Saccharomyces cerevisiae S288C: one gene and its partner. The protein of the gene in region 1 binds, or shares a complex with, the protein of each later gene. Each region holds a gene or a part of one and is shown in the gene's direction. Other genes may lie near its edges.

Region 1 (4,617 bases):
AATAACAGATTGTTGAAAATCAGCGGTGCACCTACGCTGAGATTAAGATGGATCGGTAAACTGCTAGACAAACCTGACATATTTTTGGAAAAGAGAACTTTTACAGAAAATACCGAAACTGGTAATTCAAGTTTTGAAGAAATCAGATTGCAAATGAAAGCCAAATTCATCAACAATTTTATTTTTAAAAATGATCCCAGTTACAAAAACTATTTAATTAATCAACTAAGAGAAAGGGGTACTCAAAAGGAGGAACTGGAAAAACTTTCTAGAGACTTTGATAACATCCAAAACTTTATTGTTGAGGAGAAGTTGCAGCCAGTTTTGAGAGCTACCTATAATAGAACTGCTTTCCAAATTCCTGGAGATCAAAGTATTAGAGTCACTATCGATTCCAATATCATGTACATTAGAGAGGATTCTTTGGACAAAAATAGGCCCATTAGGAACCCTGAGAATTGGCACCGTGACGATATTGATTCCAATATTCCCAACCCATTGAGGTTTTTAAGAGCAGGAGAATATTCGAAGTTCCCCTATTCTGTAATGGAGATTAAGGTTATAAACCAAGATAATTCTCAAATGCCTAATTATGAGTGGATTAAAGATTTAACTAATTCACATTTAGTTAACGAAGTTCCAAAATTTTCTTTGTACTTGCAAGGTGTGGCTTCACTGTTTGGTGAAGACGATAAATATGTCAACATTTTGCCATTCTGGTTGCCCGATTTAGAAACCGACATCAGAAAGAACCCTCAGGAGGCTTACGAAGAAGAGAAGAAAACTTTACAAAAACAAAAGAGCATTCATGATAAACTTGATAATATGAGAAGGTTATCCAAAATCTCTGTACCAGATGGAAAGACCACTGAAAGACAAGGGCAAAAAGATCAGAATACTCGCCACGTTATTGCAGATTTAGAAGATCACGAATCATCAGATGAAGAAGGTACTGCATTGCCCAAGAAATCTGCAGTCAAAAAAGGGAAGAAATTCAAAACGAATGCAGCTTTCTTGAAAATTCTTGCTGGAAAAAATATTTCAGAAAATGGAAATGATCCATACTCCGACGATACAGACAGTGCCTCTTCTTTCCAATTACCTCCGGGAGTTAAAAAACCAGTTCACCTTTTGAAAAATGCCGGTCCTGTCAAAGTTGAGGCAAAAGTTTGGCTCGCCAATGAACGTACATTCAATAGATGGTTAAGTGTAACCACATTGCTGAGTGTATTGACCTTTTCTATCTATAATTCAGTGCAAAAAGCCGAATTTCCACAACTAGCTGATCTGTTGGCCTATGTATATTTCTTTTTGACTTTGTTTTGCGGAGTATGGGCTTATAGAACCTACTTAAAAAGATTAACTCTTATTAAAGGTAGAAGTGGTAAGCATTTGGATGCACCTGTGGGACCTATTTTGGTTGCAGTTGTATTAATCGTTACCTTGGTTGTTAACTTTAGTGTGGCTTTTAAAGAGGCCGCTAGGAGGGAAAGAGGATTAGTAAACGTTTCCTCCCAGCCTTCGTTACCCCGTACACTAAAACCAATTCAAGATTTTATCTTCAATTTGGTTGGGGAATAAGAACATGTATATTTTTTATATACACATATATTACACAAGTACCAGTTACTATCATAATTAATTAATTGTTCTCTATTTATACATATTTGCTCTTCCGTATTAAATCATATTAAACAGCTTTCAGCAGGTGCCGGCGCCGCCTCTTTTTATTTTCAAAATTCAAAATGCACATAATGAGAAGATGTGTGTGATAGTTAAACCCAGATCAAAAAATAGCTGAAACGTTCGTTTCAGCTCCGCAAATCTATATTGCTAATTAAAATTATTCATCAATATCTACTTCTGTTTCAGTTTTTTTCCTCTTCTTCCTCTGACCTTTGGATATCATAATAATGTCAGTTGAAGTAGATAAGCACCGGAACACACTACAGTATCATAAAAAGAACCCTTACTCCCCTTTATTCTCCCCAATTTCTACATATAGGTGTTATCCTCGGGTATTGAACAATCCCTCCGAGTCTAGAAGATCAGCCAGTTTTAGTGGTATTTATAAAAAAAGAACCAATACGTCAAGATTCAATTATTTAAACGACCGCCGTGTTTTATCAATGGAAGAATCAATGAAAGATGGGTCAGATAGAGCTAGTAAAGCTGGTTTTATAGGAGGCATAAGAGAAACTCTTTGGAACTCAGGTAAGTACTTATGGCACACATTTGTGAAAAACGAACCTCGCAATTTTGATGGTTCTGAAGTAGAAGCAAGTGGTAACAGCGACGTTGAGAGCAGAAGTTCTGGAAGTAGGAGCAGTGACGTACCATATGGTCTACGTGAAAATTATTCCTCGGATACAAGAAAACACAAATTCGATACGTCGACGTGGGCCTTACCAAATAAAAGGAGAAGAATCGAAAGTGAAGGTGTGGGGACACCTTCAACCTCACCAATCAGCTCTTTGGCTTCTCAAAAAAGCAATTGTGATAGTGACAATAGCATAACTTTTTCGAGAGATCCTTTTGGTTGGAATAAGTGGAAAACAAGTGCTATTGGTTCTAACTCAGAAAATAACACTTCTGATCAGAAAAATAGCTACGACAGGCGACAGTATGGGACAGCCTTTATTAGAAAGAAAAAAGTTGCAAAACAGAACATTAACAATACTAAACTGGTGTCGAGAGCACAATCTGAGGAAGTAACATATTTACGACAAATATTCAACGGAGAATATAAAGTTCCAAAAATATTAAAAGAAGAAAGAGAAAGACAGTTAAAATTAATGGATATGGATAAGGAAAAAGACACTGGCTTAAAAAAGTCTATAATCGACTTAACTGAAAAGATCAAAACAATTTTAATTGAGAACAACAAGAACAGACTACAGACAAGAAATGAAAATGATGATGATTTAGTATTTGTTAAAGAAAAAAAGATATCTTCTTTGGAAAGGAAACATAAGGATTACTTAAATCAAAAGTTGAAGTTTGATAGATCTATATTAGAGTTTGAGAAAGACTTCAAAAGATATAACGAAATTTTAAATGAAAGAAAGAAGATTCAAGAAGATCTTAAAAAAAAGAAAGAACAATTGGCCAAGAAGAAACTTGTTCCTGAATTAAATGAAAAAGACGATGACCAAGTACAAAAAGCTTTGGCATCTAGAGAAAATACTCAGTTAATGAATAGAGATAATATAGAGATAACAGTACGTGATTTTAAGACCTTGGCACCACGAAGATGGCTAAATGACACTATCATTGAGTTTTTTATGAAATACATTGAAAAATCTACCCCTAATACAGTGGCGTTTAATTCATTTTTCTATACCAATTTATCAGAAAGGGGTTATCAAGGCGTCCGGAGGTGGATGAAGAGAAAGAAGACACAAATTGATAAACTTGATAAAATCTTTACACCAATAAATTTGAACCAATCCCACTGGGCGTTGGGCATAATTGATTTAAAAAAGAAAACTATAGGTTACGTAGATTCATTATCGAATGGTCCAAATGCTATGAGTTTCGCTATACTGACTGACTTGCAAAAATATGTTATGGAGGAAAGTAAGCATACAATAGGAGAAGACTTTGATTTGATTCATTTAGATTGTCCGCAGCAACCAAATGGCTACGACTGTGGAATATATGTTTGTATGAATACTCTCTATGGAAGTGCAGATGCGCCATTGGATTTTGATTATAAAGATGCGATTAGGATGAGAAGATTTATTGCCCATTTGATTTTAACCGACGCTTTAAAATAGTTATTCTTTTATAATATACAATTATTATACATAAGTAGAAATATTCAGATCATTGGATATGGAATAAAGTTCAATAAACCACTTGAAAATAAATCATAAGAATAGCATAAGCACCAGCTCAATTTAGATGTCTGTACAAAAAGTAATATATTTTAGAGATGAGCAGGCAGAACCACACATTAGTGACGATTGTCTTCGACCTTATGTGGAATCTTAAGCTTTAACATATAAGTAAAAATTTTTATTTTCAACAAAAGATTAGAACGAAATGAAATTCCTTAATTGAACCTTCTCTTGGATATCAATCTATTGGCAATCATTCCTAGAGAATATATTATTGAGTGAAAACTGTAGATACGTGCTAAGCGGTAAAGCCCTTATGAACATCGTCACACTATCTCTATATTGAGCCTCCGTAAATTTCGAATCATTTGAAATTCATTTTTCCTGGTAGGAAGATACTTGATAGTGGAGGATAAGTAAAGTAAATTGTGGTTATCATTTATTTGGTGGTAAAGTACCTTTTTTATGTTTTTTTTGAAGATGGAAATTCAGGCATTTTAAAAAAATAGAAAGCTCGAAATATCTCAAAAAACATAAAAATAGAGGAAGAATCCGCTGAATATACCATCTTTACAAACTACTTAACTATTTATTTTTAAATATAAAATTTTTAGTACCATCATCGGAGGATTGTTGCGATCGTATTTTTTTCTCCATTTTTTTCCTATATGCTATGCCACATCGACTACATAGCTCAACATTTCCATTAGGTCCACTTCTCCACTGAGAAGTCCAGGTGTCACCACAAGTGGCGCACTCTTTTGGTTGACCGTTG
Region 2 (5,743 bases), on another chromosome or scaffold:
TCAATTGTACTTTGAAGCGACTTTGAAAGATGAACACGACCTAGAAAGAGCATTGACACGTCCATTCGTCAAGAGATTGGATCATATCTACTATAAATCCGAAAATTTGATAAAAATTATGGAAACTGCTGCTTGGAATATCATACCTGCTCAATTCAAATCTAAATTTACTTCAAAAGACCAGCTCGATTCTGCTGATTATGTCGACAATTTAATAGACGGATTATCGACAATCTTATCCAAGCAAAACAACATTGCTGTTCAAAAACGTGCTATTTTATACAACATTTACTACACTGCATTAAACAAAGATTTCCAAACTGCTAAAGATATGTTACTAACTTCCCAAGTTCAAACAAATATCAACCAATTCGATTCATCCCTACAAATTTTATTCAACAGGGTTGTTGTTCAATTGGGTCTATCCGCCTTTAAATTATGTTTGATTGAAGAATGTCATCAAATTTTGAATGATCTTCTGTCAAGTTCTCACTTAAGAGAAATTTTGGGCCAACAATCCCTACACAGAATATCTCTCAATTCTAGTAACAATGCTTCAGCTGATGAGCGTGCTAGACAATGTTTGCCATATCACCAACACATCAATCTCGATTTAATCGATGTCGTCTTCTTAACATGTTCCTTATTGATCGAAATTCCAAGAATGACTGCCTTCTATTCCGGTATTAAGGTCAAGAGAATTCCTTACTCTCCAAAATCCATTCGTCGTTCCTTAGAACATTACGACAAGTTAAGTTTCCAAGGTCCACCAGAAACTTTAAGAGATTATGTCTTGTTTGCTGCCAAATCAATGCAAAAAGGTAACTGGAGAGACTCTGTTAAATACTTAAGAGAAATAAAATCTTGGGCTTTATTACCAAACATGGAAACGGTGTTGAATAGTTTAACGGAAAGAGTACAAGTTGAATCTTTGAAGACTTATTTCTTTTCTTTCAAGAGGTTCTATTCAAGTTTTTCTGTTGCTAAACTAGCCGAATTATTTGATCTTCCAGAAAATAAGGTGGTTGAAGTTTTGCAATCTGTTATCGCAGAATTGGAAATCCCAGCCAAATTAAACGACGAGAAGACCATCTTTGTTGTCGAAAAGGGTGATGAAATTACTAAATTGGAAGAAGCAATGGTAAAATTGAACAAAGAATATAAAATCGCTAAAGAACGTCTTAACCCACCATCAAATCGTCGTTGATCAATAAAATCAAAAACTACTTCGAAAGCATTCTTAACAAAAAATCATTGTAGATAGAAGAATAACATCAGCAACCAAAAAATATAGAAGGAAACTAAGCAGGAGAGTATAAACCATATTCACTTTTGCTTTTTATTCTTGATATTGCTCATCTTTTTTTTTTTCGATTCTTTTAGCGATCTCTTTATTTTTAGTTTTAGGGTTTGAATCTAATCGTCTTCACTGTACATTACACATAAGCAAATATATATATAGTTTTTTTTGTTACGTAAACACTCTTTATAATATAATACAAACTATTAAACTTTAAGAAAAGTATGATATGCCGCTTTATTTCTTCATCAAATATAATCTCAAAATATATGGATCATGAGTGTTGATAAATAATCCAATAGCCTATCATGGACTATCTGTTTGACATTCTAAAAAAAAAAATAAATTGTACGAACTGCAGTAAATCGGTATTATCATCATGACGCACGATATCAATTCTTTGCAGAAACTGAAAAATTTTTCATTTTCTACCCAGGAAAAAAAGAAAAATGAAATTCACTAAAAAAATGGGAATACTAATACCAGACGGTCCAATAATCACTATAGTATTATAGACAGCTATAACAGTGATCGAAGTTCGGCGCTCTTCAGATACCGAGTGGCTAATAGACTGAGTAGATCAAAGTGGCAGATAGCCCAAACAAAAGTAATTAGCTTGCAAGCCACTTTATCCTAACGACACGTGATTTCAACCGTAACTAGAGCCATCGCTATGTCTGCTTTACCGGAAGAAGTTAATAGAACATTACTTCAGATTGTCCAGGCGTTTGCTTCCCCTGACAATCAAATACGTTCTGTAGCTGAGAAGGCTCTTAGTGAAGAATGGATTACCGAAAACAATATTGAGTATCTTTTAACTTTTTTGGCTGAACAAGCCGCTTTCTCCCAAGATACAACAGTTGCAGCATTATCTGCTGTTCTGTTTAGAAAATTAGCATTAAAAGCTCCCCCTTCTTCGAAGCTTATGATTATGTCCAAAAATATCACACATATTAGGAAAGAAGTTCTTGCACAAATTCGTTCTTCATTGTTAAAAGGGTTTTTGTCGGAAAGAGCTGATTCAATTAGGCACAAACTATCTGATGCTATTGCTGAGTGTGTTCAAGACGACTTACCAGCATGGCCAGAATTACTACAAGCTTTAATAGAGTCTTTAAAAAGCGGTAACCCAAATTTTAGAGAATCCAGTTTTAGAATTTTGACGACTGTACCTTATTTAATTACCGCTGTTGACATCAACAGTATCTTACCAATTTTTCAATCAGGCTTTACTGATGCAAGTGATAATGTCAAAATTGCTGCAGTTACGGCTTTCGTGGGTTATTTTAAGCAACTACCAAAATCTGAGTGGTCCAAGTTAGGTATTTTATTACCAAGTCTTTTGAATAGTTTACCAAGATTTTTAGATGATGGTAAGGACGATGCCCTTGCATCAGTTTTTGAATCGTTAATTGAGTTGGTGGAATTGGCACCAAAACTATTCAAGGATATGTTTGACCAAATAATACAATTCACTGATATGGTTATAAAAAATAAGGATTTAGAACCTCCAGCAAGAACCACAGCACTCGAACTGCTAACCGTTTTCAGCGAGAACGCTCCCCAAATGTGTAAATCGAACCAGAATTACGGGCAAACTTTAGTGATGGTTACTTTAATCATGATGACGGAGGTATCCATAGATGATGATGATGCAGCAGAATGGATAGAATCTGACGATACCGATGATGAAGAGGAAGTTACATATGACCACGCTCGTCAAGCTCTTGATCGTGTTGCTTTAAAGCTGGGTGGTGAATATTTGGCTGCACCATTGTTCCAATATTTACAGCAAATGATCACATCAACCGAATGGAGAGAAAGATTCGCGGCCATGATGGCACTTTCCTCTGCAGCTGAGGGTTGTGCTGATGTTCTGATCGGCGAGATCCCAAAAATCCTGGATATGGTAATTCCCCTCATCAACGATCCTCATCCAAGAGTACAGTATGGATGTTGTAATGTTTTGGGTCAAATATCTACTGATTTTTCACCATTCATTCAAAGAACTGCACACGATAGAATTTTGCCGGCTTTAATATCTAAACTAACGTCAGAATGCACCTCAAGAGTTCAAACGCACGCCGCAGCGGCTCTGGTTAACTTTTCTGAATTCGCTTCGAAGGATATTCTTGAGCCTTACTTGGATAGTCTATTGACAAATTTATTAGTTTTATTACAAAGCAACAAACTTTACGTACAGGAACAGGCCCTAACAACCATTGCATTTATTGCTGAAGCTGCAAAGAATAAATTTATCAAGTATTACGATACTCTAATGCCATTATTATTAAATGTTTTGAAGGTTAACAATAAAGATAATAGTGTTTTGAAAGGTAAATGTATGGAATGTGCAACTCTGATTGGTTTTGCCGTTGGTAAGGAAAAATTTCATGAGCACTCTCAAGAGCTGATTTCTATATTGGTCGCTTTACAAAACTCAGATATCGATGAAGATGATGCGCTCAGATCATACTTAGAACAAAGTTGGAGCAGGATTTGCCGAATTCTGGGTGATGATTTTGTTCCGTTGTTACCGATTGTTATACCACCCCTGCTAATTACTGCCAAAGCAACGCAAGACGTCGGTTTAATTGAAGAAGAAGAAGCAGCAAATTTCCAACAATATCCAGATTGGGATGTTGTTCAAGTTCAGGGAAAACACATTGCTATTCACACATCCGTCCTTGACGATAAAGTATCAGCAATGGAGCTATTACAAAGCTATGCGACACTTTTAAGAGGCCAATTTGCTGTATATGTTAAAGAAGTAATGGAAGAAATAGCTCTACCATCGCTTGACTTTTACCTACATGACGGTGTTCGTGCTGCAGGAGCAACTTTAATTCCTATTCTATTATCTTGTTTACTTGCAGCCACCGGTACTCAAAACGAGGAATTGGTATTGTTGTGGCATAAAGCTTCGTCTAAACTAATCGGAGGCTTAATGTCAGAACCAATGCCAGAAATCACGCAAGTTTATCACAACTCGTTAGTGAATGGTATTAAAGTCATGGGTGACAATTGCTTAAGCGAAGACCAATTAGCGGCATTTACTAAGGGTGTCTCCGCCAACTTAACTGACACTTACGAAAGGATGCAGGATCGCCATGGTGATGGTGATGAATATAATGAAAATATTGATGAAGAGGAAGACTTTACTGACGAAGATCTTCTCGATGAAATCAACAAGTCTATCGCGGCCGTTTTGAAAACCACAAATGGTCATTATCTAAAGAATTTGGAGAATATATGGCCTATGATAAACACATTCCTTTTAGATAATGAACCAATTTTAGTCATTTTTGCATTAGTAGTGATTGGTGACTTGATTCAATATGGTGGCGAACAAACTGCTAGCATGAAGAACGCATTTATTCCAAAGGTTACCGAGTGCTTGATTTCTCCTGACGCTCGTATTCGCCAAGCTGCTTCTTATATAATCGGTGTTTGTGCCCAATACGCTCCATCTACATATGCTGACGTTTGCATACCGACTTTAGATACACTTGTTCAGATTGTCGATTTTCCAGGCTCCAAACTGGAAGAAAATCGTTCTTCAACAGAGAATGCCAGTGCAGCCATCGCCAAAATTCTTTATGCATACAATTCCAACATTCCTAACGTAGACACGTACACGGCTAATTGGTTCAAAACGTTACCAACAATAACTGACAAAGAAGCTGCCTCATTCAACTATCAATTTTTGAGTCAATTGATTGAAAATAATTCGCCAATTGTGTGTGCTCAATCTAATATCTCCGCTGTAGTTGATTCAGTCATACAAGCCTTGAATGAGAGAAGTTTGACCGAAAGGGAAGGCCAAACGGTGATAAGTTCAGTTAAAAAGTTGTTGGGATTTTTGCCTTCTAGTGATGCTATGGCAATTTTCAATAGATATCCAGCTGATATTATGGAGAAAGTACATAAATGGTTTGCATAAAGACGTTTAATAGAAAGAAGAACAATGTTAAGTAGTTCTATAAGGAATATTAAATGAATATTGTCTTTTTTGATGATTTAAAAACATATAATGTAACAATAGTGTTCTTTTTAATTTACCGGTGGTAATAGCGAATAGAATCTTATAAAACTTACATAGAAAAAAAATATATACTATACTTACAACTTTTCATTTTTTTCGTAAAAACTACCCCACAATGAAATAAGATACCATACCTTATCGAGTTATTATGTATGTGTCGAAGCTTTTTAAACCAAAGCAAAACCGACACCAGCGGCAATGGATAAGGAAATGATGGAGGTAAAGACCACTTGTGCTAAGTTAGCTTTAACGTTGGTGGCAGCATTCTTCTTGCTAGAAGATGAAGATGAAGCTGAAGAAGAAGAAGAAGAACTGGAAGAACCAGAAGAGCCGGAGTTAGACTTGGAAGAAGACCCCGAAGCGTTAGAAGAGGCAGTACTGGATTCAGTTCCGGAACC

The links.
Region 2: the proteins of ULP1 (region 1) and PSE1 are in contact, whole or in part, in a crystal structure (PDB 5H2V), measured with the Saccharomyces cerevisiae proteins. Residues at the interface, in NP_015305.1 of Saccharomyces cerevisiae: Gly51 (codon at 2,064), Ile52 (codon at 2,067), Tyr53 (codon at 2,070), Lys54 (codon at 2,073), Lys55 (codon at 2,076); in NP_014039.1 of Saccharomyces cerevisiae: Asp346 (codon at 3,009), Arg349 (codon at 3,018), Gln350 (codon at 3,021), Asp353 (codon at 3,030), Leu357 (codon at 3,042), Ser392 (codon at 3,147), Ser393 (codon at 3,150), Glu396 (codon at 3,159), Cys429 (codon at 3,258), Asn430 (codon at 3,261), Gly433 (codon at 3,270), Gln434 (codon at 3,273), His470 (codon at 3,381), Ala473 (codon at 3,390), Ala474 (codon at 3,393), Val476 (codon at 3,399), Asn477 (codon at 3,402).

What each region holds. Positions count from the first base shown.
Region 1 is NC_001148.4:511,475-516,091, reverse strand, and holds ULP1 (SUMO protease ULP1), read left to right. Parts: upstream 1-1,913; coding exon 1,914-3,779; downstream 3,780-4,617. Other genes in the region: VTC3 (vacuolar transporter chaperone), read left to right, coding at 1-1,581; ECM23 (Ecm23p), read right to left, coding at 4,428-4,617. UniProt on the Saccharomyces cerevisiae protein: Protease that catalyzes two essential functions in the SUMO pathway: processing of full-length SMT3 to its mature form and deconjugation of SMT3 from targeted proteins. Has an essential role in the G2/M phase of the cell cycle.
Region 2 is NC_001145.3:888,452-894,194, reverse strand, and holds PSE1 (importin PSE1), read left to right. Parts: upstream 1-1,973; coding exon 1,974-5,243; downstream 5,244-5,743. Other genes in the region: NIP1 (translation initiation factor eIF3 core subunit c), read left to right, coding at 1-1,207; 1,3-beta-glucanosyltransferase GAS1, read right to left, coding at 5,513-5,743. UniProt on the Saccharomyces cerevisiae protein: Functions in nuclear protein import as nuclear transport receptor. Serves as receptor for classical and arginine/glycine-rich nuclear localization signals (cNLS and rg-NLS) in cargo substrates.